4 linked regions of the Mytilus edulis genome follow. The protein of the gene in region 1 binds, or shares a complex with, the protein of each later gene. Links are inferred from orthologs where the notes say so. Each region holds a gene or a part of one and is shown in the gene's direction. Other genes may lie near its edges. The genes, in order: small nuclear ribonucleoprotein Sm D3-like; U6 snRNA-associated Sm-like protein LSm5; RNA-binding motif protein, X-linked 2-like; RING-type E3 ubiquitin-protein ligase PPIL2-like.

What was found.
Region 2: small nuclear ribonucleoprotein Sm D3-like (region 1) and U6 snRNA-associated Sm-like protein LSm5 share a complex: the UniProt entries of both Homo sapiens proteins name them as parts of the U4/U6-U5 tri-snRNP complex. The link is inferred for Mytilus edulis from reciprocal best matches to the Homo sapiens genes SNRPD3 and LSM5.
Region 3: small nuclear ribonucleoprotein Sm D3-like (region 1) and RNA-binding motif protein, X-linked 2-like share a complex: the UniProt entries of both Homo sapiens proteins name them as parts of the minor spliceosome. The link is inferred for Mytilus edulis from reciprocal best matches to the Homo sapiens genes SNRPD3 and RBMX2.
Region 4: small nuclear ribonucleoprotein Sm D3-like (region 1) and RING-type E3 ubiquitin-protein ligase PPIL2-like share a complex: the UniProt entries of both Homo sapiens proteins name them as parts of the minor spliceosome. The link is inferred for Mytilus edulis from reciprocal best matches to the Homo sapiens genes SNRPD3 and PPIL2.

What each region holds. Positions count from the first base shown.
Region 1 is NC_092349.1:81,658,312-81,665,403, forward strand, and holds small nuclear ribonucleoprotein Sm D3-like, read left to right. Parts: upstream 1-4,562; 5' UTR 4,563-4,696; coding exon 4,697-5,012; intron 5,013-6,305; coding exon 6,306-6,373; 3' UTR 6,374-6,567; downstream 6,568-7,092. UniProt on the Homo sapiens protein: Plays a role in pre-mRNA splicing as a core component of the spliceosomal U1, U2, U4 and U5 small nuclear ribonucleoproteins (snRNPs), the building blocks of the spliceosome.
Region 2 is NC_092357.1:54,417,725-54,424,557, reverse strand, and holds the start of U6 snRNA-associated Sm-like protein LSm5, read left to right. Parts: upstream 1-3,826; 5' UTR 3,827-3,922; coding exon 3,923-3,962; intron 3,963-6,642; coding exon 6,643-6,738; intron 6,739-6,833. Other genes in the region: kalirin-like, read right to left, coding at 3,557-3,623. UniProt on the Homo sapiens protein: Plays a role in pre-mRNA splicing as component of the U4/U6-U5 tri-snRNP complex that is involved in spliceosome assembly, and as component of the precatalytic spliceosome (spliceosome B complex).
Region 3 is NC_092346.1:77,143,109-77,150,674, reverse strand, and holds the start of RNA-binding motif protein, X-linked 2-like, read left to right. Parts: upstream 1-4,565; 5' UTR 4,566-4,691; coding exon 4,692-4,705; intron 4,706-7,566. Other genes in the region: oxaloacetate tautomerase FAHD1, mitochondrial-like, read right to left, coding at 536-632, 3,148-3,215. UniProt on the Homo sapiens protein: Involved in pre-mRNA splicing as component of the activated spliceosome. As a component of the minor spliceosome, involved in the splicing of U12-type introns in pre-mRNAs.
Region 4 is NC_092349.1:71,243,421-71,250,884, forward strand, and holds the start of RING-type E3 ubiquitin-protein ligase PPIL2-like, read left to right. Parts: upstream 1-4,458; 5' UTR 4,459-4,501; coding exon 4,502-6,055; 3' UTR 6,056-7,464. UniProt on the Homo sapiens protein: Has a ubiquitin-protein ligase activity acting as an E3 ubiquitin protein ligase or as an ubiquitin-ubiquitin ligase promoting elongation of ubiquitin chains on substrates.

The sequences.
Region 1 (7,092 bases):
ACATACAAGTCAGCAATGTTTCTTTCTCATTTTGTACAAATGCTTTGAATGACTGATTTAAATTACTTTTGACCTCTTGATATTATGTACGTTTGATCAATTCTTGCATTGTGTTTATTTTATGTATGCAATATCTGTAATACATGTATATTGTTCTGAAACAGCATTATGATCTGGTGTTATTTTATAAGGAGACGAGCGCTATTCAATAATTTTATCCAATTTCCAAATTGCCACAGCAAATTACAATCAATCATCCAATTTTCATTGTAATTTTGTAGTATGGTGAAGTGCTATTCTTTTTGGGAAAGGGGTTAAGTTCCAAATCTCCCTTGAGGAAAAGGATTAGAATCTTAGCTGTGTACTAGTACAAGGAAAATGTATAACTTGTATGCATCAGTTGTAATACCTGTAGCGGTTCTATAATATCATTAGATTTGAATGAATATAGATATGACTTTTATTCACAATTCTGAAAATGTTTGTTTAATCTTCTCTTTTTTTTCAATTGAAAACTGGGCGCAGAATAATTAAATTTAAGCGAAACTTAAATGTATCATAGATTTATAATATCATTTTTAGTATATTTCCTATCCAAGCTGAAAATTAAGTACCCTCTTATAACCTGACAAATTATTTGGTTGCAGAATAATTAAATTTAAGAGACACTCCTCTCTTTACCCGACAAATTATTTGTGTCTGAAAGTTAAAATAAGTTGAGAAGTTGATATATCAGAAGCCATAATAGATCATTTGTTTATAAAATCATTTTTTATCTTGCAGATATACACATACTTTTTTACTGATTTTATATGTAAAGATATAAATAGTGCTATCATCATTTGTAAATAAACATCCCATGTACATTTTAGGTACTGAATAATCTGGATCTGTAATAGGTTACAAGTACTTCACTCATGTGCAAAGGTAATAATCGAATTGATGGGGATTTTTTGTATTGTGCAGGATTTCTTCTTGTAAGGACATTAACCATACAATGCTTTCCAGACCTAATAATTATAAAGAGCACTTCTTGAATCTTACAATTTGTCTCTGTTTTCTAAAGACAAATCTACACATTGATATGAAATACCAGTTGAATTGTATTATAGAAAATTCTTAATGTTTTAACATTTTCATACTTGGTATTTTTTTTTATTGTAACTCTATTGTTCAGAGTTAGCAGTTATATGTGTGTTGGATGAACTTATGAAAATATATAAAGAGAAAATCAAGTGATAATTACACTAGTCACAAATGGTCCAAAAGTTGTAATATCTAAAAGTGACGTTTAAGTGTGATTTATGAACATACAGTATATAGTATAGAGGTTGTATGTGTGACCAAAAGTATCACAAAATTTAAGATTTTGTCATTGTAAATCTATTCATTGATTTTGACGATTGAGTCATTTGATTTTAATATTAAATTATTTAAACATAATGAACATTGTTTTCTTTAATTTCAGTACCAATTAAGTATATATGTATATGTATATATTAAGTGCCTAGAAAATCAACCTTAGGATGTTAGAGTAGATTTGATTTGTAACTTCCTCCCCGGCGCCGGGGCTGGAACCTGTATTTGGATATATAATTTTGCATACAATGTTGCAATTAAATCTTGAAAAACATGTTGACTGCATTAAAAAAAAAATTCTTATGAATTATAAGCTATTTCTAAAATCATGTCTTTTGACAGACAAGATTGTGGATTACACACTTTCTGATGATGGCATTTACCCAATAGACGGCTGTATCCCTGCATCAATAAAAGATTGTGGATTACACACTTTTTGATGACGGCATTTACCCAATAGAAGGCTGTATCCCTGCATCAATAAAAGTTTCAAGTATCTTCATTATCTGCAACTAGCCAGACCAGTGACCAACTAATCAGATTTGTATTTCCGAAATATTTTGTGCCGTAGGAATGGTAACAAAATAATTAGGGCCCCGCCTTTAGGCGGGTCGCCCTATAGTGATCAGTCTGTCCGTCCGTCCTTAACACTTTAACTTTGTGTCCGCTCCATATCTAGAGAACCATTATGATTTCATACTTTATACTTTGCATGTTTATTAACCACCGCCAAAGGGTGTGTCATGATGTATGTACAACTTCCTAGGTCAAAGGTCAAGGTAAAAAAACTTTGGTTTCAGTTGACAACCCTGTGTCCTGTGGTGAAGACCGTGTCCGCTCTATATCGTGAGAACCGTTATGATTTCAAAGTTTTTACTTGACATGTATATGAACCAACACCAGAGGGTGTGTCATAATTTATGAACGACTGCCTAGGGCAAAGTTCAAGGTCAAAAACTTTGGTTTCAGTTGACAACCCCATGTCCTATGGTAAAGATTGTGTCCGCTCTATATCTTGAGAACCGTTATCATTTCAAAGTTTATACCTGAAATGTATATAAACCAATATCAGAGGGTATGTCATAATTTATGTACAACTTCCTAGGTCAAAGGTCAAGGTCAAAAACTTTGATTTCAGTTGACAAACCCATGTCCTATGGGTGCTATAAACAGTTTCGTACTAAAAACTAGGGGTATTTCCCCAGTGAGATTTACATACTGATGGAATTCCCTGCTATTTATATACCACTAAATGAAAAAGTTGATTGTTTTTTATGTTCAATGTGAAAAACATATATTGAAGTTCAATTAAAATGCCACTTTTGTCAAGATTTAAAAAAAAAAAAATGTTTTTGTGACTTCCTACTATATGGGAGGCAACTCCATAAACAGCTGATTTTCACCTGTTGCAAAAAGCACTTTGATTTGTCAGGTAAGATAGCTCCTTTCGGAGCAGGCGAACGTAGGCTGAAACTACATTTTCTTAAATCAGCCGGATAAGCTCTTCGAAATGCATATTATAAGAAATCTCAAATATATGCACAGGTTACTGATCCGTGTGTCCAAAGGTGGTCTTTTTAAGGTTTTTTAGGGGGAAAATGCCTAATTTCCAGCTGATAACTTGTACCAATTTGCATGTTTAAACAAGAGATGTTGGATTTTTTTTTATTTATTCAGAAAGTTCATAGAATTATCTTTCCATTGATGTATAGATATCTATATAACTATGAATATCTGACTTCTGCATGATGGGTCCACTATTACATGCCCTGTTACAGAATGACGTCACGTAAAAAACTGTTGATTGCACCCTATGGTAAAGATACAATTTTTTAATGCACATTATTCACAGCGGGACCCACAGAGATGGCTCCCATCTCAATGATATCTAGTTAACTTCAAATATTTTGTGGTGTATAATGATAATAATAATAAATTCTTTATTTAAAGAGGGTAAACACATATATAGCATCCTACTTTTCAACCATTTGCTTAACATGTGTTGGAAATGATGATAAAATTGAGAATGGAAATTGGGAATGTATCAAAGAGACAACAACAGGACCAAAGCAGACAACAGTCGAAGGCCACCAATAGGTCTTCAATGCAGCGAGAAACTCCAGCACCAGAGGTGTGCCTCAGCTGGCCCCTAAACAAAAATGTATACTAGTTCAGTGATAATGGACGTCATACGAAACTCCAAAAAATACACAAGAAACTAAAATTAAAATCATACAACCATGTTATGGTTTGCTGGAAGATGCAGATAAATTAAATTCACTATTATGTATCCTGGATACCTGCTCTTGTTCTTACTGTGTATTTACAATTTAGTTTGACCTGACATAACTGTAAATCTCAACTTGCAACCTCACCTACTCCAAATAATAACATCTGTGAAAAACTGCCAAACATAAATTAATTCTTAGGGAGCAACTATTTAACTTTAAGGGGGGTTTAATATGGTATTTTTGTGTGAGTAAGACATTTTAGGTATGGAGGAAATATGGATTCAGATTAATATTTTTTTGTTGTCTGCTTGACAACAATATTTTTGTTCATAAAATTGGGGAACAGAATAATTTTTTTTTAGGAAAAAGCCATAATCTCTACTCTTGAAATTAAATGGGTGTTCCCTTAATATGCTTACATTATAGTAATGTAGAATTGAAAAAGTTATATTGCTACAACCTTGATTTTGTAAAAATTAAAACAAAGCAAGAAATGGATTGCTGTTACAGTTATGAACGCTTATTTATTGTCCTCCATCCACAGGTGCAAGAGAAGATTTTATTATAAAAGTATATATTATAATACTCTATAACGTTTCTATATTTATTCACAAAATTGTATATTGATACAGTATAAATATATATATATATATATATATATATGTATGATAAGTTGGCATATGTATACACAATAACAGTCAAAACTTGAGCTCTGATGAGCTCTTTAACCAACTATAGATGTGATATGCAAGTTATTATCTCGTCCCTGTGTAAGAGTCTGAGTTTGATCCTTATTCGATGCAGCTCACAACAATGGCTTTTTATGCAATTAATTGTTTTAAACAATGTTTTTTTATCAATCAAGGGTAAGTAAAAAAAAATTAAATGACCTGTCACTTAGTTTGTGACAGATCATTCCAGTTTTGGTGCGTTGTTTCATATTACCAAAATTTTGGTTTTTAGTCGTAACGGAAACGACCGGTGCGCGTTATCCGCCATTGTTTGTTTTGATTTTTGCCGGCACTGAAAAAATCCATCATCATCTGTGATATCTGGCAACAATTTAGATTAATTTATACTCATCAAGGCATTTCAAAAACATCATCATGTCTATAGGGGTGCCAATTAAGGTTCTCCATGAAGCAGAAGGTCATATTGTCACCTGTGAAACTACGACAGGGGAAGTTTACAGAGGCAAGCTTGTTGAGGCTGAAGACAATATGAATTGCCAGATGACAGCAATAACATGCACGTACAGAGACGGTAGAGTTGCACAGCTGGAAAACGTCTATCTCCGTGGAAGCAAGATCAGATTCATGATTCTGCCGGATATGTTGAAAAATGCACCTATGTTCAAGCGAGTGAAAGGAGGATCTGGTGGAGGTGCAGGAAGAGGGAAATCTGCAATTCTCAGGGCACAAGGTATAAAAAAGCTTGTGGGAACTTAATTACATGGGTAACCTGTATTTTATGTAAAATCGGATGCCCACCTCTCTCCCTAGGCCCTCATCCAGGCATAATTTCAGGCTATTATAGCCTGAATGCCAATTTGTGTGGGTCTGAAAGGCAAACATAACTAGATTTTGCAATGCCTGTAGGTGCTTTATAGTTTTATGGCTGTTCTGTGTTGAATTATGACTCGACAAATGATTCATGCACTTGACAAATCCCTGTAATGAAATGTTGAATCGTTCAGATCCCCACCCATGACCTGACCATCAAGACAATAGTCTAATGATAGTCAATACACCTTATCGCTATTCCCAGCTGACCTGGGAATCTGTCTTGCTTGAACTAGTGATGTCATACAACAATCACTTTTCCATTATGGCGTCAGATATTTTGTATTTCAGTCTGCACCAAAAACTTTTTCAACTACTAGTCAGAAGACCAATATTCTGACATTTTTCTTATTGGGCCAAACAAAATTTTGCAAAAACTTACTAGTCCGAATGAAATTTTACTAGTCTGGGGCATCGGACTAGTGGCTAACCATGCAGACTGGTATTTTGACGTCAAAATATTACGGGAACCTGTGTGATGTTCCGAAATGGAACACTAATAATGATGAGGTGTATTAAAACGTGTTAAAAGCTCATGACTTCTGATAGTACTGATCAGACAGGAATTTGTTGCTACAATATCAATCAACAGACCATATCTTTCAATTGTCATATGATCGAATTACTGGACATTGCATCACAGCAATATTACTTTCGGTTAAAACTTTGGTCAAACAAAATTTCTGGAGCCACTTTAGAATAGAAAAGTGAATTTTGTATGAAGTACAAAATGAAACTTATTTAAGGTTGATCAAAAGTTGTTGAAATATTAGGTTGTATTTATACCAACATATACAAACTGACGCATCAATCAAAGTTTTAAGGTATGCTTGACCTAGATTTAAAAAGTTACATGTAGTTTATAGGTCCTGAAAAAAGATAACTGATAAACAGTTAACGTTACCCGTACATGTACAAATGTATATAAAGTTATTGCAAGTTGATTATTTATTACATATTTTGTTATTGATTTAGCACAAAAACACTATGCAACCAAAATGCTTATGAAATTTAACTTCTTGAAGAAATTGATAACATATTCTCCCTTTCTGATATCCTAGCTTGGGCCTTGCAAATGTGATTTTAATTATGAATAACCGACATGTATGAACCTATAATAGTTGAACTGATTTATGAATTTTGCGTATTTCAGCTGCACGAGGAGCTAGAGGTCGTGGTGGTGGTGGCCGAGGAGGAGGAGGATTCCAGAGAAGACATTAACATTCTTTCTTTCATTGACATTTTGTGAAATCAAGCTGAACAATCGTGACAATGGATGAGTGTTTGTAAATCTTGCAATTGTTGTCAAAATCCAAAACAGCGAAGTTTGGTTTTTATCATAGAATCATTACATTCTTCATGATCATGTGACATTGTCATGTTTTACACTGTATTTATAAAATATTTGATGTACATTTATGTGTTTTGATCTCTTCATCACTGGAGTTAAGATGATATTGTAACTTCCCAAGATAGCAGACTGAAAGTAATGTGTAATAACTCCATCCTAATGATGTGCTATAACACAATTGCTGCAGGTTAGAATACCGGTAGAGTTGAACTCTCAGTTGCAAACTTGTTAAACGCAGTCACATCAATAATATTTGTGTCAATTTTAAGATCTGAACCTGTTTTTCAGTGGTTGTTGGTTGCTGTCTTGTATCTGTTTTTAGAAAGTTTGCTATAGCTTGCTACAGCCTCAACTTCCAGTTAGACAGAATATCGCAATGTTCTGCTCCAAGATAATGTTACGTAGTACTAGTGTTAGAATTCTGATTCTTGGATATTTTGAGTTGCTACTCTTTTGGAAAGATTACAGCTTGAATTAAAAAGGAATTAATGTTCACGGACAATTCAGATGAATTTAACTTCATTTTGAAAATAAGAATCACAAACACTACTTTGAGGAACGGCCATTGGCTGAAGAGAAAATTAAAAGA
Region 2 (6,833 bases), on another chromosome or scaffold:
TAAACTGGGGGTGATATCAGGTGCTCCAGAAGGGTAAGCAGATCCAGTTCCACTTTTAATGTTAGGGGTTGGATAAACACACAACAATTCATCAAACTTTGTCACTATTGAAATCATGTACATGTACATGTACACATGCTATCATTTGGGATGGAAACCTGAAGACAGAATATGCATCATTTTCTATAATTCAATAAAAAAAAAAGTGGCAGTCATATTCTGAGCACTAAGTAAGATTTATATTTTCTGTTAGAAACAGTATGAAACAACATAATGAAAAAAAAAGTATAGATATTTTTGGCTCAGCATCTTGCATTAAACACAGTGAATACATTTAGAAATACCTTTGGGTTTCAAGGCAAGCATGAACAAATATTGAATTGAAATCATAGTAAAATAGCTATAACTACCCTCTTATTGATATAACTCCATCTTTAGTTGCTTGCTGAGGATGGTGGTTTAAATATAACATCTGAATGCACACATGATATCATTGATACACAAATGTCAGGGGCGTAGCTACCCGGAGGCACGACAGCACGTGCATCCACGTCAAAAAAAAAAAAGCAGAAGAGAGAGAGATGAGTTGGTCAATCGGAATCGGAGACTGTTGGTGTCTTTTCCGTCTATCCCGGATATAAGTTTGACAACCTTGTTACAAGTGTTGATGAAGCTGTTCATTCAGAAAAAGTTCGTAGCTTCGAAGTTGTGTGCACATTGATTCGGCATGCAAAAAAAGAAATGGCAAAATAAAAATTTATCAATTGAATGTTAAAGGAAACAGCTATGTTGTCACTTTTTTTAATTGATGAAATAAATAACTTCATTAAATAACGACATTTGGTTTCAAAATATTTTTTTTTTTGGAGATTATGACAAAATCGGAAGGTTACTTGTATCTTTTAAAAGATTTTTACTTTTGAATTTGTAATGCTCAGTCTAAGATATGTAGTTTTGGAGCACATTTTACAGTGTACAGTTCATCAGTTTGGAATGAGATGTACCAATCGGCATTAGAATTATCAGATCCCTTGGATATCGTTGAAAATATGCCGAGGCGATGTGGTTGACAGACTACCGGAGCCAATCACCCTGCAACCAGGCCAAAACATTATTTTTTGTGTTCATAGACCATATGATAAGGCAACTGGAGAGTGGAGTCGCGTCAAGTTATCAGAAAATCGCTTCTTTGTGCTGTATCTGCTTCATCATGTTGTAGGAAATATCACAAACAAACAAATCTCAATACTGTCTGAAACATACGAAACTGACCTAGCATGTAATTTTGACAAATTCAATTGGGAGGTTGCTCGATGCCGAACACGTACGCTGGTTTATAACATCTCGCGGGTGCTACCATGCCATGACGGCCCTGAGATCTATCAGTCACGGTACTACGTATGTAATTGAAAACAAATGTACGATCAACAATGAACAACGAAAGTTACATAGCATTACTGCATATTCATCGGGATTTCAGTGTGAATGTTGACAAAGTAATAGAGAAGTTTGTTTCTGCCCAGACCCGAATAGCAGATTTTGGACAATTTTGAGTAAATTTTGTATCACAAATATGTGTTGTTTATGTAACTATATTCAGAAGATTTATTAATAGTTTTACATTCATAAATTTTTATCTACATATAGCTCCTCTTATAACCGTCCTATGACCGAAACCCCGAAAAAAAAAAAATTCTGCATAATAGGGTCCCAAAAATTTTTAGCCTCGCTCCACTCAGCAGTAGTTGCATCCACATCGTTTCTTTCGAGCTACGCCCCTGAATGTATCCTGTGTTTTGCCTTCTCTTAGAATTTTTACTGTACTTTACATGTAGGTACAAAATGTAGTTCTACCCGGAAAACACTCAAGTGATTCTATCTGACATCACACACAATATCTGAAAGTATTGTAGGCATCACATTACCCAACGACATTGTTCAAATACAGGGAATGACCATACAGAATACAATGTAGACCTTAACACTATTTGGAAATTTGTGCAGCTTGACCTGAGAATCTGTGCCGCTATGACAATATAGACATATTCACACTTGTATGCAAATTTGTCCGCCATTATGTAAAATCACACAGGTTACCGTAAACTTTGACATCACAATTCAAAATATTTGACCTCACATTTAAAAAAGGCAGGACAGAGATTACAACTAAAAAAAAATGCAGGACAAAATTTTTCATCCTAGCCCCCCCCCCCCCCCCCCCCCCCCCCCCCATAAAAATCAAATGGTAACTCCCTTAGGGCTATGCAGATTTATTGCTATTGAACGAGTAGCTAGCCTAGCTGCTACATAGATATTGATAGCAGCTAGGCTAGCTACTCGTTCAGTAGACAAAAATCTATGTAGCACTACGTAACCCTACGATATTGAACGCAAGTCTGTTGTACAGTTACATGTTTTAAAAATAGAACAAATAACTCAGGGTGGCCAGGTATCATCTATTGATTGCAATATCTCACACTTTCAATATCGATTTCTCAGTACAGGGGTATTGTGCATTGCTGCTGTCGAGATTTTCAATTAATCGGTAGATGAAGGGGGTACTATTGAGGCTAAAAATTCATCTAGAAAAAATGTAAAATACGATCGGGAAAAGCGGAAAAGAACATATCTAGTGACATGGACAGAAAGATTCCCCTGGGCAAGGTCGGCTGTGGCGCCAGGATGAAATTACCGAGACCATGTTCTGCGAATATTGCCAGTGTTTTCCCGACCATCCCAATAAAAGGTCTCCCTTGTATGTGTGGGCAACTAATATAATAATTAAACCACTTGTTTCACACGATAAAACCAATAAACATGTTTTCTCTGCCAGAAAATAAACTAGTTTAAAACGGTGTATAATGTCCCCTTCAAAACATGACACCCACCATGTATTATGCAGCAAACTCTGATTTGTAAGGCATACATGGGCTAGCAGGTCAGTTTTGATGGGCTAGCAGTTCTTCGAACAGGGCTAGTAAAATCCTGCTGCCAATAAGTCCTGGGCTAGTTATCTGTAACAACATTTTTTAACCCCTGCCATTGTGGCGTCATATATTTTTCTATTGTGACGTCAAATATTTACAGGAACATTTTTCTTTGTGATTAGTTCAAAGCCAGTTGAATGTGGGACATCTTCATTATACATTTGTATCTCTTGATTATAGTTTAAGTGTGATTTGGGAGTGTTCACAGAACAGATATATTGCCAGGCCATAATCCACACTACACACCATACAGTTTAATAATCAAACTCAAATGTTTAGATACCAATTTCCAGAGTTTCATATATATGCATGTTTTCCAAACATTCATAAATTATTTTGTTCTGGACAAAAAGTTTATATCAAAATCAAAAGTATTGTTGATTAATTTATAATAAAACTTAACATTAAGACAATTTGATACATAACTTTCAAAACTAGTGTGTTCAAAGCTTAAAACATGAGAAAAATTCAGTTATCTTGCTGTTTGGCATTTATTTTGGAACACGCAATGGACCATGACGAGATAAACTTCATATAAAAACAGTAAAGTTTTCTTTGTTTTTCTGTACCTGGGCGATAATAGCATTCCACTTCTCTCTCATTAGTCACATCTTTTCTGTGCTCTTGATTGTTCATGTCTTTTCGGCCATGAGACGCTCTAATTGCTCTTTACAATAATCAGCATCATTGTGTAGCATCTTCATCTTTTTCGGCCATCAAAATTATTATTTCGGTAGACATCGGATATTTCCGTAGCTTCCGGTGGAATTTGTCATAGTAGGCGTGTTCGACTTTACCGCCATGACTCATTCCTTCTTCTTAAGTATCAAAAACCCCGAGAATAAATTTATTTTTAGTGTCGAATCGGCCTTTTCTTTCGTTATCTCTTTGGCCTTTTCTACTTTGTCAACAAATCCACATGTGAGAAACCCACGATGACAACTTTCTCAAATCCATCTCAGCTACTTCCACTTGGTAATTTGTGCTAAGTGTACGATAATAGATAGTGTATTTTTTACTGGCTTTCAATTAAGGCTGCAATTTTGGAAGCTTGTCATTTCAAACCATAAATGTACAACAGTTTCAAACCATATCTATGACCATATAAATTTTTAAAAAGACCGGTATATAATTTTTCATGTGAAAGAGGTCGAAGTCTGTACAAATACTGTTCCTGCTTTTGTTAAGGGTACACTTTCTTTGACTCAATTGGTTGGAGGCTGCATACTTTTATAGATACTTTTAACTGTAGATCTCATCGAATGATAGTGGGTCTCATAATTTGGGGTCTAAGCGTGACGCGGGATTGCCAATTTTTTGTAAGCGGGACACGTGAAAGTCAAATTATTGTGTCGTGAAAACGGGAAGTAAGGTCTAGCGGGACTCTGGAAATGACAAAAAAAATGAAAATTGCTTACGTACATAGTGTAAGCGGTATACGGAAATCTAACAAAACAGTAAGAGGGATCCTTTGTAATTTGATGGTACATTTCTTCTCTATAACTCTCGTAGTTGGGGCACTCTGTGAGGTAGTCTTGTTGTGTTTCCTTAGTTCCACAGCTGCATAAGTCAGTGGTGTTTTGCCCTGTGCATTGTTTATAGTAGTTAAAGGTTGTATGGCCAGTTCTTAGTTGTATAAAGATGATGAAGTATTTTTTGGTTGGATAATTAAAGATTGGGATGTTTTAAACGTTTGGTGTTATCTCAAAAAGTTCTCTTCCTGTGTTGCTTAATTCCCATCGTCTTTGCCACTTCAGCATGACACTCTTGTGTGCACCTTATTTTACATCTTGAAGGGTAAGTATGTTGTTTTTTTGACAGGAGTTGTGTTGCTTCTTCTGCTGCTTGCTTTGCCAATAAGTCCTCTTCGTCGTTCCTTTGAATATTTGTGTGTCCTGGTGTCCATAGGATGCAAATTTCCATCCATTTAGTTCTTAGGTCCTCGATGTGTTCTCTGATGTCTGGAATTACATCAATATAGGATTTGGGTGCCCAATTTAGTGTCAGGAGTCCTACTGCACTTTGATTGTCAGCTAGAGAAGATCTTAAGTGTGGCGGTGGTTTTGTGTAGTCTTTCCAGTATAAAAAATTCCAGTACCATTACAATTGATACAAGCTCTGCTAGACAATTCGTAACTACATTAATTTGTTACCAAGACGTTTCGTACCGGGTGTTATTATATATGTTCTGGATCATATATACATAAGTATGTGGACCAAACGCGTAATGTGTATACTAACCTTCTGTGTGCATTGAAATCATGATCTTTGGATCATTCTGATGTGTCTACGATGTTTATAGTTGCTCTTGATTTCAGACGAGACCGGAAACATTTAAAAAATGATGAACAATTTAAATTCTTCTGTTCTCTTCGTATGTTTGCATACCTGTCAACTGACCCGTATTCTGCGGGTGTGACCCGAGATTTTCACAATTCTGAGGGATCACCCGGGACACCCGGGACACCCGCCGGGTCATTGAAATAACCCGGGAATTCCGAAAATGAACCGATTTCACCCGTATTTCTTAGCCTTGAGATTGATTTCATAAGTAATATTCCTTTGAAATACCGGCAAATTCGTAATTCAATGAACAGGAAGTTCATCTAGTTATGTAAACTGTCAAATTAAGTGACCAATTAAGTGCATGGCTTCACTTGACAGCTTTGATGTCAAACACACTATTAATTAACACCAATTACCTTAGATTTAGGTCGTAAATAAATTGCCCTGTTGTTTTACAAACATATTTCAACTAAGAGTTATTTCCCCTTATTTGTCACTATTCAAAATTATTCCTTATATTTACGTTTTATGGGTGAAAAAGATTAAATCATAAAAATTCAAATACATATTGAAAAATAACTTTACATTATTTTTATACCTTTATACATTTTTTTTTAAAAGTTGAAAATTATTTTTTACATTTATACTTCCTTTAACTGTATTACTATATTTTATCATAGTCTAATTTCCTTCTGAATTTGATGATGGAATGTTTTAAGGCTACATTGCCAGTAGCCTCAAACATTTTAAGATTACATTTGAAAACTAAATTCTAGTATTTGATGATCACAAAAAGTAAAGAACATAAGACTGTTTTACACAAATTATAAAAGTCTTTAAAATTGCAAATAATTGTTAGGATTTAAAATGACTTAACCAAGTTAACATGCATTGATGTTTTGGTATCTTTGATATACATTAAATCATAAGAAAATGTACCATAAATACTAAAATTCAGCTCGAAAAAGTTCGTACGCGTTATGACCTGAGATTTGATTCTTCAATGCAGGTCATGACCTGCATTTTCATCGTCACAGGTTGACAGGTATGTGTTTGCAAAACTGTACTTGTAAACTTAACAGTGTAAAATCAAATGTGCAATCAATTATTAAAATAAATAAATATAGATAGATATGATATATACATGAACATGATAACATCAATAAGTCTTTTTATCTACATGTATAATAGTCATCACATGAGCATAACTTATGAAAAGATGTTATATAAAAATCTCCATTTCACCTATTTCACTTATTTTTTGCATCCAATATTACATTGAAGTAATAAAAATTTTAAAGAAGAAATTGGAAATATTACGATCAATAGCTCTGACACTAGTTTTTAACTATTTAATTTCTCATTTCAGAACTGGTAGATAAATGTATAGGATCTCGAATCCACATTGTGATGAAGAACGATAAAGAAATAGTTGGAACTTTACTTGGTTTTGATGATTATGTCAGTATCCTTTTGACCTATTTAAAGAACAACTACCTAGGTCATGGTCTATTGTATGTCTTTTAAAGTGTCTGAAAAAAAAAGCTGAATGTCATCTTA
Region 3 (7,566 bases), on another chromosome or scaffold:
TGTAACATTTGTTTCAAATATGACCAACTTTTTATCCAAAATCACCAGCATCGTATCAGGACCCACTAGCACAATGACAGGACCCACCAGCACAATATCATGACATGAATAAAGAGAGAAAATGCAAAATTTTAATAAATTACAAGGGGTTTTCACAAAATAATTTTGTCGTGTGGATTTGGATATAAATGGCGGACTCCAGGAGCATTTTTGTTTTATTTTTTCATTTCTAGATTTTCTGAAAATTAGTATGTTTGTATTACGCTCACTGAAACAGCTTGAATGGTCACATTTCTAATGGTTGCCTTGAACCCATAAAAAAAAATAAAAAAATAAAAAAATCTCAACTGTTTCCTTCCATTCTTTATGAGAAAAAAACGTCAAAAATCATAATATTCGTCTTTGTTTACATATTTTCGATGCATGATCACAAGCACCGGTCAGGACCGAAATAACAGCACAGACCGTTTTCTCGCAGGACAACTTTACCCACCGTGAAATTGGTACTGCAGTAAGTTTTAAAAGAGTAACATACACGAATAGATTGTCCTTCGGTGATGTATGCAGTTGTTGGCTTTGCAAACAGGCTTGGCGTCTTCGGATTGGGTATGCCTTGAGCAGCAGTAAGACCTCTGTAAAATCAAACTTAATAAAGATTGTATACAAGATAAGTCGCAAAAGAGTGAATGTATTTCATTAAACTTTTAACATTAAAATACTCTAAAACTCTAAAACAGAATTAGTCCAATAAAGAGTTTACTGGTGAGTCTTGGTGGTTCTGATAATCTTAATATAGACATCAATCTCTAAAATATATATGTTGTATATACATTATGTACACAGCCATGTATCACCATCATTGATGGCGATCCGATGGATACATCTGTTGTAGAGTTGTCACTGACTCAGACGTACTTATAAATATAATTATTTTCTGTGACTGTATATTACATTAATTTGTAGGATCCTTTACAATAGATAATTTAGCTGATCTGTAACAATAACATCTTCATGCCTTCTATATCATGTACTGTAGTACGCCGCTAGATTAAAACTGACGAGGAAAGGTAACAAACGGCCAGCGAAAGCTTTTTTTTTTGAGAGCCCAGGTGGTCGTGTGGTCTAGCGGGACGGCTGCAGTGCAGGCGATTTGGTGTCACGATATCACAGTAGCATGGGTTCGAATCCCGGCGAGGGAAGAACCAAAAATTTGCGAAAGCAAATTTACAGATCTAACATTGTTGGGTTGATGTTTAGACGAGTTGTATATATATACATCTATCTTTACACCTTATACATTATATATCAGTATTGTTAAAACTTTTGCACCGAAGAAGGCCATTTGTTGAGCCGAAATATTTGCAATTATTGTATAATTTATATCATCTGTTCAGTTTTTCCATCTTTGTGCGAGACTCATATAATTTTTCCTGTTTGTGTAGTATTGTCAATTTTGATGATCCAATACCTATTAAGTTTACTGGTTGGTAGATTCTTATAGACTCTCTCTCTCTCTCTCTCTCTCTCTCTCTCTCTCTCTCTCTCTCTCTCTCTCTCTCTCTCTCTATATATATATATATATATATATACATATGTAAGTTAAGTTTCAAAGCGATATTTACCCCTTTCCGCTTTAAATACCTTCTTCTTCTTAGATATAGTAGTTAAACTCAATAACGAGTACTCATTACTTGTGCGTTACGTAGATGTCTATTTACAATAAAAGATCAAGGATCAAAAAAGAAAATATGGTGCATGCTGTACAGTTGGTGCAGGATAAAAAAAACATTCCATCATCTCGGTAACCAGTATCTTGAAAGCTTCGATCACTTTCGATTCCGGTAATTTATTCCAGGCTATTACCTTTCTTGGAAAGAATGAGAATTTGTAGTAATCATGTCTTGGGTTGAAGATGGTGTATGTCATGGTATTGTAGTGTCTTGATGTTCTATTTAGTGGGATGAGGTAAGTATCTGTTGGAACTGCTACTAGCTCATTTACAATTTTGTAAAATATGCATAATCTGATGTTTACTCTTCGTTGGTAGAGAGGTATCAAGTTAAGCTTGCTTATCATGCTTGTGACACTCGATTGGTTACTGTAGTCGTTGAAAATATAGCGAGCCGCTCTATTTTGTCAATATTTTCTTGCGTATAGGGATCCCATATGGCTGCGCTATACTCCATTGGTCTTATAAGTGCGTTGACAGCATTGGTTTTTGTTTGTTGTGGAGCTTTTTTGATGTTTCTGCTAAGCATCCCTTGTGCTTGGTTTGCACTGGCTACAATGTTGTGTATGTGTAGGTTCCAGCTAAGGTAATTTTTGATGGTAATTCCCAAGTATTTCGTGTCTGTGACTGCTTCTAGTTGTTTCCCATGATGCATGTAATAGGGTTCTTTTATGGGGGGGTTTTAGATCTTGTTAGGTGCATCACGTTGCATTTGCTGACATTAAATTCCATTTTCCATTTCTGTTCCCGTTTCGTCAAGGTAGTCATCTCTTTTTGAAGGATGGCTTGATCTTTGGTAGTTATAATTTGCCGGTAGATGGCGCAATCATCAACAAACAGACGAATTGTTGACTGTATATCATCAGTGATGTCATTGATGAAGATAAGGAAAAGGACAGGTCCAAGTACACTGCCTTGGGATACTCAAGATGTTACTCCCACTTTGTCTGAATACTTATTTTCCAGTACAACTGCCTGTGTTCTGTTGTCTAAAAATGCTGTGATCCATTTGTGATTTTCCCTCTTATCCCATAGTGTCTGAGCTTGTGTAGCATGCGTGGATGGCTGACTTTATCAAATGCCTTTGCAAAGTCCTGGACTATCATATCTGTTTGTGTCGATAAAACAGATACGCAAAATCTTGCTATCTGCAGGTGTTTTTTCTTTTACAATTCCTTCAATCGATCTCTGATGTGGTCTAAAAAGGTTAGCTACCTGATATTTGTTCATCTGATTTTGTTCAATTATTTTAAATGAATAAAACATATAAAAAAAATCATTTTTGCATCAGAATAAAATTGACCAAATATGAGAAATTTGATAACCTTTATGGTCCTTTGTCTCATCTGTGGAGTGGGTACATCAAATAACTGACAAACGTATACTTATGATTTTATAGAGTAGAAGGTAATACTAACTTGTAGTTTCGGCAGACTGCGACTATTTTCTTCCCAATTTCTCTAAATTGTTTCAATCTTTCAGCCATTTCGAAGGCCAACTAACATACATATATATATGAACTCGTAAATTTGTGCTTTATACCTTTCTCAAATCAACTATAAATTATACGTATTATCAATGTAAACTTTGATTCTGTTATCTCATCTTAAATACTTTTGTTTGCTTAAAAGCACCGTTTGTCCGTTGATATCTTCAATCACGATTTCAGTATAACTTGTGTAGTTATAGTAAAAATAATAATGGTCTGATTTCTCTAAATACTTTGGGGTTACTAGCTAAGTCTTCTTGGTATGTCGTCCGTGTTATTATGCTTATTATCATTACCATCTAAAGTCATAAGTAGACCTTAAAATAGAGCTGTCAGAACATTTTAATAATGGTTTCTCCGTGTCTCTTTTCAGCTAATGCACAGAGTTAACTGTTTATTCTGCCGCTAGATAAAATGTCTATTTTTATCTAATGTGAAATGTGGGATTTATATTCCACTATACTAGATGAATATCTCTTTTAAGCTAGTGTGGAGTGCGAGCTGTATATTCCACTGCTAGATGAGTGTCTCTTTTAGTTATTATGGAGTGCGAGCTGTATATTCCACTACTAGATGAGTGTCTCTTTTAGTTATTATGGAGTGCGAGCTGTATATTCCACTACTAGATGAGTGTCTCTTTTAGTTATTATGAAGTATATTCCACCATTAGATGAATCGTTGTCCTTGTTAGATCTTCTTGGCAATCATTTAATTGATAAAAATACAAATTGTGCAGATAGTCTCCTTACGTACAATGTTTACTAGGTCGATTCAATTATGTTATTAGTTTTACTGGGGAAAAATTGTTATTAAAATTAAATATAGCCTCATTTGAAAACTTTCTTTTTAAAGTCAGTCGGATAGAAATATAACAAAATTTGGGAAAACGATATGTTTTCTGCTATGAAAGAAAAGTAAAGAAAAGTAAATTACGTACTATACATAAATAAGAAAAAAAAAAATATACTGACTTAAAATATAAAAACCGGGCCATAGATGGGAACGGTAAAATATGAATACTTTATAATGTTATAGCAGAGACATGTATAATATGTCTCTATTTATACCAAGTAAGTATTTGTTTGATGATGAGACGAAGTTGGGGCGAGTAGTTTTCGGGGCCAAACTTTGATTTACACGATGGTTTTAAATCTGAGGGCAAAATAAAAAGTTTTACCTTCATCTTCCCTTTCTTGAATTCAACAAAAAAAGCTGAATAATGCACAACAAAAGTAAAAACCAGCAAAACTTGTCATTTATAAAGGTTGAGTATTAGTTAGATGACATGATGATATATCATTTGTGGCGAATGTATTTTGGGGCGAAAATGACAAGCTGAAACTCTTCTTTAAGAAGGGCTGAAAAAGGTATAAAAAGCAAAATGTTTTTCTGGTTTCGTTGTCTTGCTGTTTGATCAGTTTTAGCAACTCTACGTGACATTGGAAAGATATATTGATTAGTTAGCAATAGGACATGAATCCTCTCACGTAAATATTCTGCTTAAATTATATGAATGGAACACGATTTTTATTTTTCACAAAAATTACCTGATCACAGGCACTTGTCTCAGAAAAAATTTCCTATATACCTTATTATAACACAAAGTACTTAACTTGCATTTTAGAAAAATGTCAGGTGGTGACGAAGTACCGTTATATGCCGCTTTATAGGCTGTCAACCCCGCTAAAACTTGTTATATCGTAAATTAGTCCGAGATTACTCTGACGTCCAACGGCTGTTTTGCCAGACAAGCTGGGGCCGTGGGACGTCAGAGCTCGTCTTATATCAAAAAGTGGATATTTGCCCACCCAAAATAGATGCGCTGCTTCGTCGCTTCTGCTGCCGACTGACGGCCTTGGAATTATATAAATCGGGCATCAATCTGTTCATTTTTCATAAATTATCTCTTCATTTATGTAAGTTTCACTTACCTGCCAACCTTTATTTTCTCATTAGTAGACAGTTTTCACAGTGACCCATCGATTTCGGCATTTTGAATTTCACTTTTATTTATTAAGTTATTAAAGTGTTTGCTCTCACTGTTAAATCTGGCAGGTTTTTCCATTAATCCTTTTAAGATAAGATAAGATAAGAAAACTTTATTTTGATTCGGCATGAGTACAAATAAGCAACACAAGCTCTAAGGAGCTTTTGACCGAATATAAAAACATATAAATAACATAAAAACAGTGCATTTTGACATATAAAACAACCTGTAATACAAAGTTGAATCTCACATACATAGCATGCAATAAAAATAATCAACAAATTTAGAATGAAGTAAAAACATGCTTGACCAGAGCAACCAAAAGCAGCATAAATAATAAAACAGTTTAAGAATTATCTGCAAGCAGAACAGTGACATTCCAAACCGTTCCAGGACTGAACAAGACTTTTAAAATGTGAAAAACTGTTTTCAGTCCTGAAATGGTTTGGAAGACTGTTCCATAAAGTAGCAGCAGCAAATTTGAACGATTTTTTACCGTAACGGGTTGACTTTACCTGTGGAATTTCAAGAATATTTACATACCTGAAAGAATATTTAGATTTTTTGACATTCACCAAATTTTGTAAGCACACAGGAGCGATGTTGTTTATAATTTTAAAAGTTTCTAGAGCCATTGTTCTTATCCGTCTGATCTGCAAGGAAGGCACCTTAGCTTTAAGTAAGAGGTCCTCGTAGGAGCTGGTAAAATCCTCATAAACAAAACGGAGTGCTCTTTCCTGCACCTTTTCTAGTTTTTTGGAATTTTTCTCAGTGCAAAAATGCCATGCCAAAGGGCAAAAATTAAAATTACTAAGAATAAAAGTATGAAATATAGTAAGTTTACTAAGTCTATCCAAAAATGAGCCTAAACGTTTTAAAACATTTAATTGCTGTGATGCCTTCCTACAGATTGAGCTGACATGAACATCAAAATTTAGCTGGTAGTCTATTTCAATGCCTAATAATTTTACTGTTTTTTCACATGTGAGGTTCGAATTTTGAATATGTATAGATGGGTTCTTTTCAAAGGTCTTTTTGCCAACAGCCAAAACTTTTAATTGAAAAATGTCTTACACTTTTTCTTTAAAAAGTCTTGAAAGCGGATTCATGATCAGGTTATATGTCAGTAATCACTGTAATGTACATTAGTAACATCAACAGAATCTGAACTTGTTATAGTCTTGACACCGATAGGAACAGAAAACAATAAATCATTCAATATCAGAATGTAAAAAACATAAGAAGGACTCCCATTTTAACCTTAAGGTTGACAAAATAAGACATATTTTCAAATTTATATATATATACATGTATATTAAATTGATATTAATGCAATCCTAGTGGCAAACATACATGTATACTGCAAAAGCAGACATTTTCGTGAAGGATTTAACTTCGTTTGTTTCGTGGAAAGAATATATCAACAAAACTAAATCCCCCACGAAAATTTAACCTACATATAATATCACTTCGATTTTCTTGGAAACCATGAAAAGTTAAATCCCAATGAAATCTTGTATATATGCACAAAACTACGAAATTTAAACCCCATGAAAAGTAATGATTTCACAGTATGTCAAATTCATTCAATACTCACAATATAAGTCGGACTCTAAATATAAGATAATTATCTGTTTGTAAGCATCAGCTATAGCTAAGACAAGTTAAAGCCCAATAGAGGTAAAGAAATTATCTCCCTTTAGTAATTTTAAATGAAATATAGTTTTGAATTTTAACCATGCATTTATAATTTTTAACCATTTCCAGGTGAACAAATTGGCCTATACTCCAAGTAAATTTTGTGGTGTAAACAGACTGGTGTAAACAGACTGGGGAATTAATTAGCAGATAAGAAATTCTGTGATTTAGAGTTTATCAAAATTTCAAATATACAAATGTAGTTTAGATGTTAAGATAGTTTCATTATATTAGTAAAATTGAAAAAAAAACACCTTTTGCTGCTAAGATACAATATTCATCTGTAAATTCTTGATTTGCTGAATAAAAAAAATGCTATAGTATAATGAAGGCTTTAAATAATGATGATATATTTCCAAGTCCAAAATTTGAGAAATAATGTGGTGCATTTGGAAAAAAAAACAACTTAAAAGAGTGATATAATTTAAGAAATAAAGTTATAATATACTTTAACAAGTGATTTTTTTTGTAATTATTCAAGATTCAGTACCAGATTATCATTACCTGTCTTCTATATAAACACAGATGTTAGTTCGAATAATGTCCCAAGATCAATATATACATTTGTATTTAAAGCTACAGTAACATTAAAAAAAAAAAATAGTCTAGTGATTTATAGGTACTTCTTACATGTATATAGATGATTACAAAAAAAGAGTTAAG
Region 4 (7,464 bases), about 10 Mb from region 1:
TCTAAAATTCAAAATTGAAACAGAAATTAACAAATTAATTTATTAACTAAAACACTATTTGTGTCATAATATAACAGAAAAGTTATATTACAACAGTCTTTTCCTTTGAGGTCAATTTCTGACACGCACATTTTCAAGTCAGTTGTCAATGGCGGTGGACGCACAACACCCCCCCCCCCCCCTGGATCCGCCACTGCACAAGGAGAATCGGGTAGGTCTTTATTTACTAAATTAATCGTAAATATTCCGCCGGTTGATATTGTAGCATTGGTAAATATGTTCATATCTGATAGAGGATTCCTTGATAAAGTTTTGCTGACATTCGAGACTTGGCAGGAGGGGCCCTTTCAGTTTGACAGATCTCCATTTATACTTGCGGTGGCTACACCTTGTAAAGTTGGTGCCCTTTGTGCATCTGACGGTTTCAAATGCTGTATAACATGATGATTTAAATTAATACTGGGTGACAATCTTGTTGCATTTGTGAAATGGATTGGAAACCTTGGTGGTATATTGGTAATTACGCCTATTTCTTTTTATAGGAGAATGGGGTTCGATTCCCTGCTAGGGTCAATCCATTTTATCAGAAATATGAAACAATTTTGTCATTTCAGTACAACAGTAATAATAACCTATACTTTATTTTATATTTTATCGTCGGAACATATGTTTCAATGAAATTATTATATACAATGACATGCCTTTTTAACAGGAGAGATGAAACGAGGGAGGGGTTTTGAAGTTAGAACAGCCAACATGAACGTTGTGGTTTCTAGGTCAACTATGACAATTACGAATTGTAACACATTGTTGTTATTGGAAAAGTATTAGTAACAAAATGTGTATCATTTTAGTGTTTGAAAGTGCTTTAATTTAAGGAAATACATTAAATGCATACCAATTTGACGAAATTTATTTTTCTGCCGTAGTCAATATACGCATGTGTAAACTAATTTTATTGGATAATAAAGTATACGGTTTCTTTACAAAGCTAAAGAAGCACGTCATATTAGAATTCATTTTAAATAATTCTTTGTCTTTGATATGAATTAACATTACCTGATGCATTGCCTTTCTTTGTTTACATTGAACATGACCTCATAACTTAAATAACGTCACAAGTAAAATCCCTAACAACAGAACCAAAATCGGAAACGTTACAGTAATGCAGTATTTCCGTTTCTTTTTTTTAACAAATATGTAAGTTACAAAAAAAAATAATTCATACAGACTCTGTCCCCATACACCTTATCGCTATTTGTCCGTCATTACTGGAAATCACACAGGTTCCCGTAAAATTTTGACGTCATAAAACAAAATATCTGACGCCACAATGGAAGTGATTGTTGTATGCGTCAAAAGTTCAAGTGGCCGGGTCAGCCGGGATTAGCGATAAGGTGTATTCACAGGTAATGCCTGCCTCATATTATATATATATGTTCCTGATTTGAGGTTTCATTATGACTTTAGGATAAAGTGAAAGTTGAAACAAATAAATAGAGATGCGGCATTGTGAAAGTATTACTTCAGGTTCTAATTATGACATATTCGTGTCTATTTATACAATAAAAGGTATTCTTTAAGTTACTTAACCTTTGTGATTATGACAAATTGTTTAAGCAGTCTTACTCCTCTTGCATGAAAATCGAGAATATTTCCTCGAAATACTGGTTTCTTTTCTATCCACTGATGTTCTCTTTCCTTATTTTTTGGCTTTTTCGCTAGGGTAACAGTAGCGTACAATAAAATAAAGAATCGAAAATCCTACCAGTGATGATTGTTTTCCGCATTATACTGCGAGGTATTTTTTAAAAGTACTTTTTTTTAAATTAATTTGAATTTATCACTGTTTATTTAATTTCAAGATATCATCTTAACGGGATAATCAGATATCTTGTAAAAGTATATAAGATATCTTGAATACTTCCGCGCTTCATACAAAATGTACTTCGGTTAACGCTTTTACACCCCAATAAATTTACAAAAAAGAGCATTCAATTCTTAAATATAGCTCAACATGCAGACTTCTTATACGTTCAGGTATTTCACATCCAATTTTTTATGGAAATATTCTTTATAAAGCACAAAGGTGTCAGTATTCACCTCAAAAACTAACAAAATCTTTGAATAGACTTATTAAGAAGGGATATAGTTACGATACTGTTGTCAGGTCATTATAAAGATTGCATATTTTGGCGTTAATATTGATTCACTTATAGGGTCTTTGCATCGGAACTAAACACATTTATTCAAAAACCAGTTGTTGGCATGACACGGGTTATATTCTTCTCATATATGTTATGATGGTATGATACTAAACCCCTAACGGGAAGGATTAATTTGTGCCTGATGTTCATATGATGAAATCATAATCTTTCAGTCAGTTTAATTGAAGTCTGGAGCTGGCATGTCAGTTAACTGCTAGTAGTCTGTTGTTATTTATGTATTATTGTCATTTTGTTTATTTTTTCTTTGGTTACATCTTCTGACATCAGACTCGGACTTCTCTTGAACTGAATTTTAATGTGCGTATTGTTATGCGTTTACTTTTCTACATTGGCTAGAGGTATAGGGGAGGGTTGAGATCTCATAACATGTTTAACCCCACCGCATTTTTTGAGCCTGTCCCAAGTCAGGAGCCTCTGGCCTTTGTTAGTCTCGTATTATTTTAATTTTAGTTTCTTGTGTATAATTTGGAAATTAGTATGGCGTTCATTATCACTGAACTACTATATATTTGTTTAGGGGCCAGCTGAAGGACGGCTCCGGGTGCGGAAATTTCTCGCTACAATGAAGACCTGTTGGTGACCTTCTGCTGTTGTTTTTTTCGATGGTTGGGTTGTTGTCTCTTTGGCACATTCCCCATTTCCATTTTCAATTTTATAAAAGATAGTCTGTTAAACAAATTCTTAATAAGCTCGACTGATATCTTGTAAATATTTATATATCTACTAATGTATATAAGATATTAGCATACTTTCTTGTTTTTTTTTAGTCTGGACGCCATATAATTAACTAATTCATCTTTATTTCACTTTCAATGTTGACATTCATTTCCTTTAAATAACTGAACACGGACAGTGCATGCGTTATTCATTTCTACGGATTCAATGAGGTCGAATTATTGCAAGTGAAGAATTCACCATCTATTTTTCTTATCTTATTTTGACAAAATTGAACCATACTGGCTGCTAAAAGAGAATCAGTGATTATTTCACTATTTCACTTTAAATTGTTATGCAAATATATCGGATTATGATACAATGAATAGATTTTTTTTTTGCAATTATTTTGCAAATAATTTAGCTTGCAAGAATAAAGTTATTCTCCATCTCCAATAAATAGGTAAATTATATAATAATAAATGTCATAAATAATGTATCTGCAATTATATTTTAAGAAGTGAAACTGACAAAAGTACATCATTTCAATAAAAAAAAAATATCATATTAAATTTCGTTTGTTTTTTGTTTATTCTGGATATATAAGTTTTCATTTTAAGTGTAACGTGACGGTATCCAAATTACACCTCTTTTGACAGTTTTTTCATCTACGTTTTTTTATGATAAAGACAAAAATGTCCATTCTGTGTTTAATTTCTAGCCGTATCCTTCTTTATTATATTGGAACACCAATTTGATGTTTAATTCATATTGAATCATATATTAGAAAAAAGGGTCTAAACTGACCTCCAAACCATCAATGATTCTGAAATGAGAAGTGTACCCAAATTGCATCTATGCTTAAATTCGCATCGTCAAAAGTCTAATAATAACAGAGCTTTTGTTTAATTTCTTCAAATATTTTAAACAATTGGATATTAGTCCATGCTTAATTTCATTTTTTTTAAATGGATACTTGTAACATATTGTATTTCATCATTTTAAAAAGATGACGTTTTGATGACGGCATGGCGACGTTTCAGTTCATTTTGCTTTTTCAGTAAACACTTCATCTATTGATAAATACTGTTGTGAACGTTTTGTGCATATCTAAATATATTTACCTATGTCGAAAGATGTGCATAGTATCAAATCATAAAAATACAAAATGTTTACTGTTTAGTCTCTAGGAAATCTTGTTAGATGTCCGCTGCTATTTTAGCTAAATAGGTGCAATTTGGGTACTCGGTGCAATTTGGGTACCGTTACGTTACAGTAGCGAGTTGGCGGACCTTTATCATTTTATATCTTGATTTATAAAATGGGGAGAGTTGGAAGGAGTATATTTAACGGGAAATACTTTTTCATAAGTGGGCGACTATCTATAAAGTGGGACGACCTGGTGAAAAAAATGGGGCGACTTGGGACGATTTTACAGGAGGCGAGTTGTCTTGCTTCCGACTATGTGGGTATTAAACTGGACCCCTGCTGTTGTTTCAATCTGTCGAAGTATCAATCAGCGGGTGGCCAGTTAATGTGGGTATCGGAACTTCGCGCATTCCCTTCCCGTCAGTGCACTCTTTTCTTTATCATGATACAGTAACTTCCGACCAAGCAAAATGGGCAAAAAACAACATCAGAAAGATAAGTTGTATCTTACATCTACTGAATGGAGAACAGAATTCGGAGGATATAAAGGTCAGCTTCAGAAATCTGCAGAATTTAGACGTTTACCTTTCTACTGTTGTAGCTTATCGTTCCAACCTTTTCAAGATCCACTATGTACCAAAGACGGCGTCATTTTCGATATCATGAACATTGTTCCGTTTCTGAAAAAGTACGGCGTGAATCCGGTAAACGGAGAAAAGATGACAGCAAAAGATCTGATCCATTTGAACTTTTATAAAAACAAAGATGATAAATTTCACTGCCCAGTTACGTTTCAGGTTTTTAATCAGAACTCTAGCATCGTGGCTATTAAAACAACAGGTAACGTGTTTAGCAAAAACGCAGTGGCTAAACTTAATCTCAAGCCAAATCACTTGAAAGACCTTTTATCTGACGAGCCGTTTTCAAAGGCTGACATCATAAACATTCAGGACCCCACAGATGTGGAAAAATGCAATTTTGCCAATTTTTACCATTTTAAACATAATTTAAAGGTTACAAATGAAGACAAAGCTGATTCAAAGTCAAAGATCAGATCTGCAAGCACCATGACTCAATCTGTCCTTGATGAGCTTGAAAAAACTTACAAAGCTCCAGTAAAGGAGGAAGCTTCAATGGCCAAAGCAGATAAGTTCAATGCAGCTCATTATTCTACTGGTCAAGTTGCAGCATCATTTACCTCAACAGCAATGAATCCCGTCACAGAACATGAAACTGCTCTTATTGATGAAGATATACTGCGTTATGAAAGAGTGAAAAAGAAAGGATACGTCAAACTTGACACTAATTATGGTCCACTGAATATTGAACTTTATTGTGATATGGTCCCAAAAACATGTGAGAACTTTCTGAAGCATTGTAAAAATAAGTACTACAAAGGTTCAAAGTTTCATCGCTCAATAAGAAATTTTGTACTACAAGGAGGAGACCCTACTGGTACAGGCCTTGGCGGGGAATCAATATGGGGTGGAACTTTCAAAGATGAATTTAAACCAAATTTACAACACACCGGCCGAGGAGTTTTAAGTATGGCAAACTCTGGACCAAACACAAACAAATCTCAGTTCTTCATCACTTTCAGGTCAGCTCATCATTTAGATGGTAAACACTCAGTATTTGGTAGAGTTGTAGGTGGAATAGGTTCACTAGATGCTGTAGAACTCATTGAGACAGACAAGAAAGATAGGCCAAAGGAAGACATAATAATCGAAGACTGTGCAGTGTTTGTAGATCCATATGAAGAAGCAGATGAACAACTTCAAAAAGAAAGAGAAGAAGATCTTCAGAAGGCAAAAGAAGAAAAGGAAAAGCTAGAAAAAGAAAGGAAGAGGAAGGTTGCAGCTGAGGGTACTCCTACGGTTTACAAATCTGGTGTTGGAAAGTACATTAATTCGACTGGAAGTGAAACTAGTTTGAAAAGATCAGGAGGCGATGAGCAATCAGAGACTGAAAAAAAGAAAGCTAAATTTGTACCAGGGAAATTAGGGAACTTTAGTAACTGGTGAAAATATAAACATGTATGTTATAATTGACTAATTTTAACCTTATTCATCATGTTCATGCTGAAAGTTACCAGGTGAAAATGAAATTACAATGTACATTGTATGTACATGTATACCAAGTTTCATAAAAATATGAAGATATTTTGTCACATAAAGATATTTTATCATTATGCCATTAACATGATTAATACATGCATGACATGTAAATCATACAAATGTACATGTCATAGATGACATCTGAACTGTTCAATTCCCCTTTCTCAGATATAATTTTGTAATTTTAAGTTGATCTGAGGCAAGTAATCCAAAAGTCATAAAAGTAGAAACTATAATAAAAAGAAAATTACATGTTGAAGACTCAAATTCAACATGTTCAATAAACATCATGATGATGATGATGATACAATCTTAAAAACTTTAATTTTATCAATATTAACTAACGTTCTAATTCTGCCATTCTGCATTTTGAAATAAAAAAAGTGGGGGCTTTAAAATACAAAATGCAATTAAACTAAAGTAAAATGTTGATTATTATTATAAATCAGATACAAGTTTTAATGGCATGAATAGCACATACAATTTTGTTCATGTAACATGTATTTTAATTTTTTCATTGCCATATATACATGTAATGTATGCATGCTCATCTAAATTTTAGTATTTCTTTATTAAAAAAACAACTTTGGATTCATTATTATTCATTGTATAGCAATTTTCATGGGTAGAGATGAACTACGAATTCAAATGTTCAATGAACAACACATATCTGAATAGGCTTTGTATACAGAGATTGGCAAAACCACAAAATCAAATATCCACAAATTCCAGAGGCATGACTTAAATTAATATTTGATTTCATTAGCAATTATTTTAACATATTTAAAGATTTTTAAATATCAGTGATTTACGTGTAACGTGATAACCATAACGTTCCCGTTCATCTTCAAATGCACATTTGGTGAATTTTCAACTAAATGACAGTTATTTTTGTAATTTGATTTACTAATTATTGATCCCTTTTTATTATCAAGATTATATTAACTTTAACAGTGTGCCATGGGAATTTTTCTGTAATCAAATAGATATATATTACATACTTCTATTGTTAAAGTCATAAAAAATAAGTTTTCTGGTTATGTTAATGTAAAAGAAAAAATTGCACCATAAATGCATACATGTATATACCATGTATACTATCCATTTGTAATTTCTATATGCATATTTTTTACAATTATTTTAAATCCTTAATTAAATAATATATAAACATGACAAAATAAAAAAAAATCATTCAGTGATTGTTGATTGAAAAACTTGAATTTTGTGTCTAAGTGATTGTATCATTGCCATTATTTGAGGTGAAAGAGTGATGTATATTTGTTTTATAAATGTATATTTTTGATGCATTTCCATTT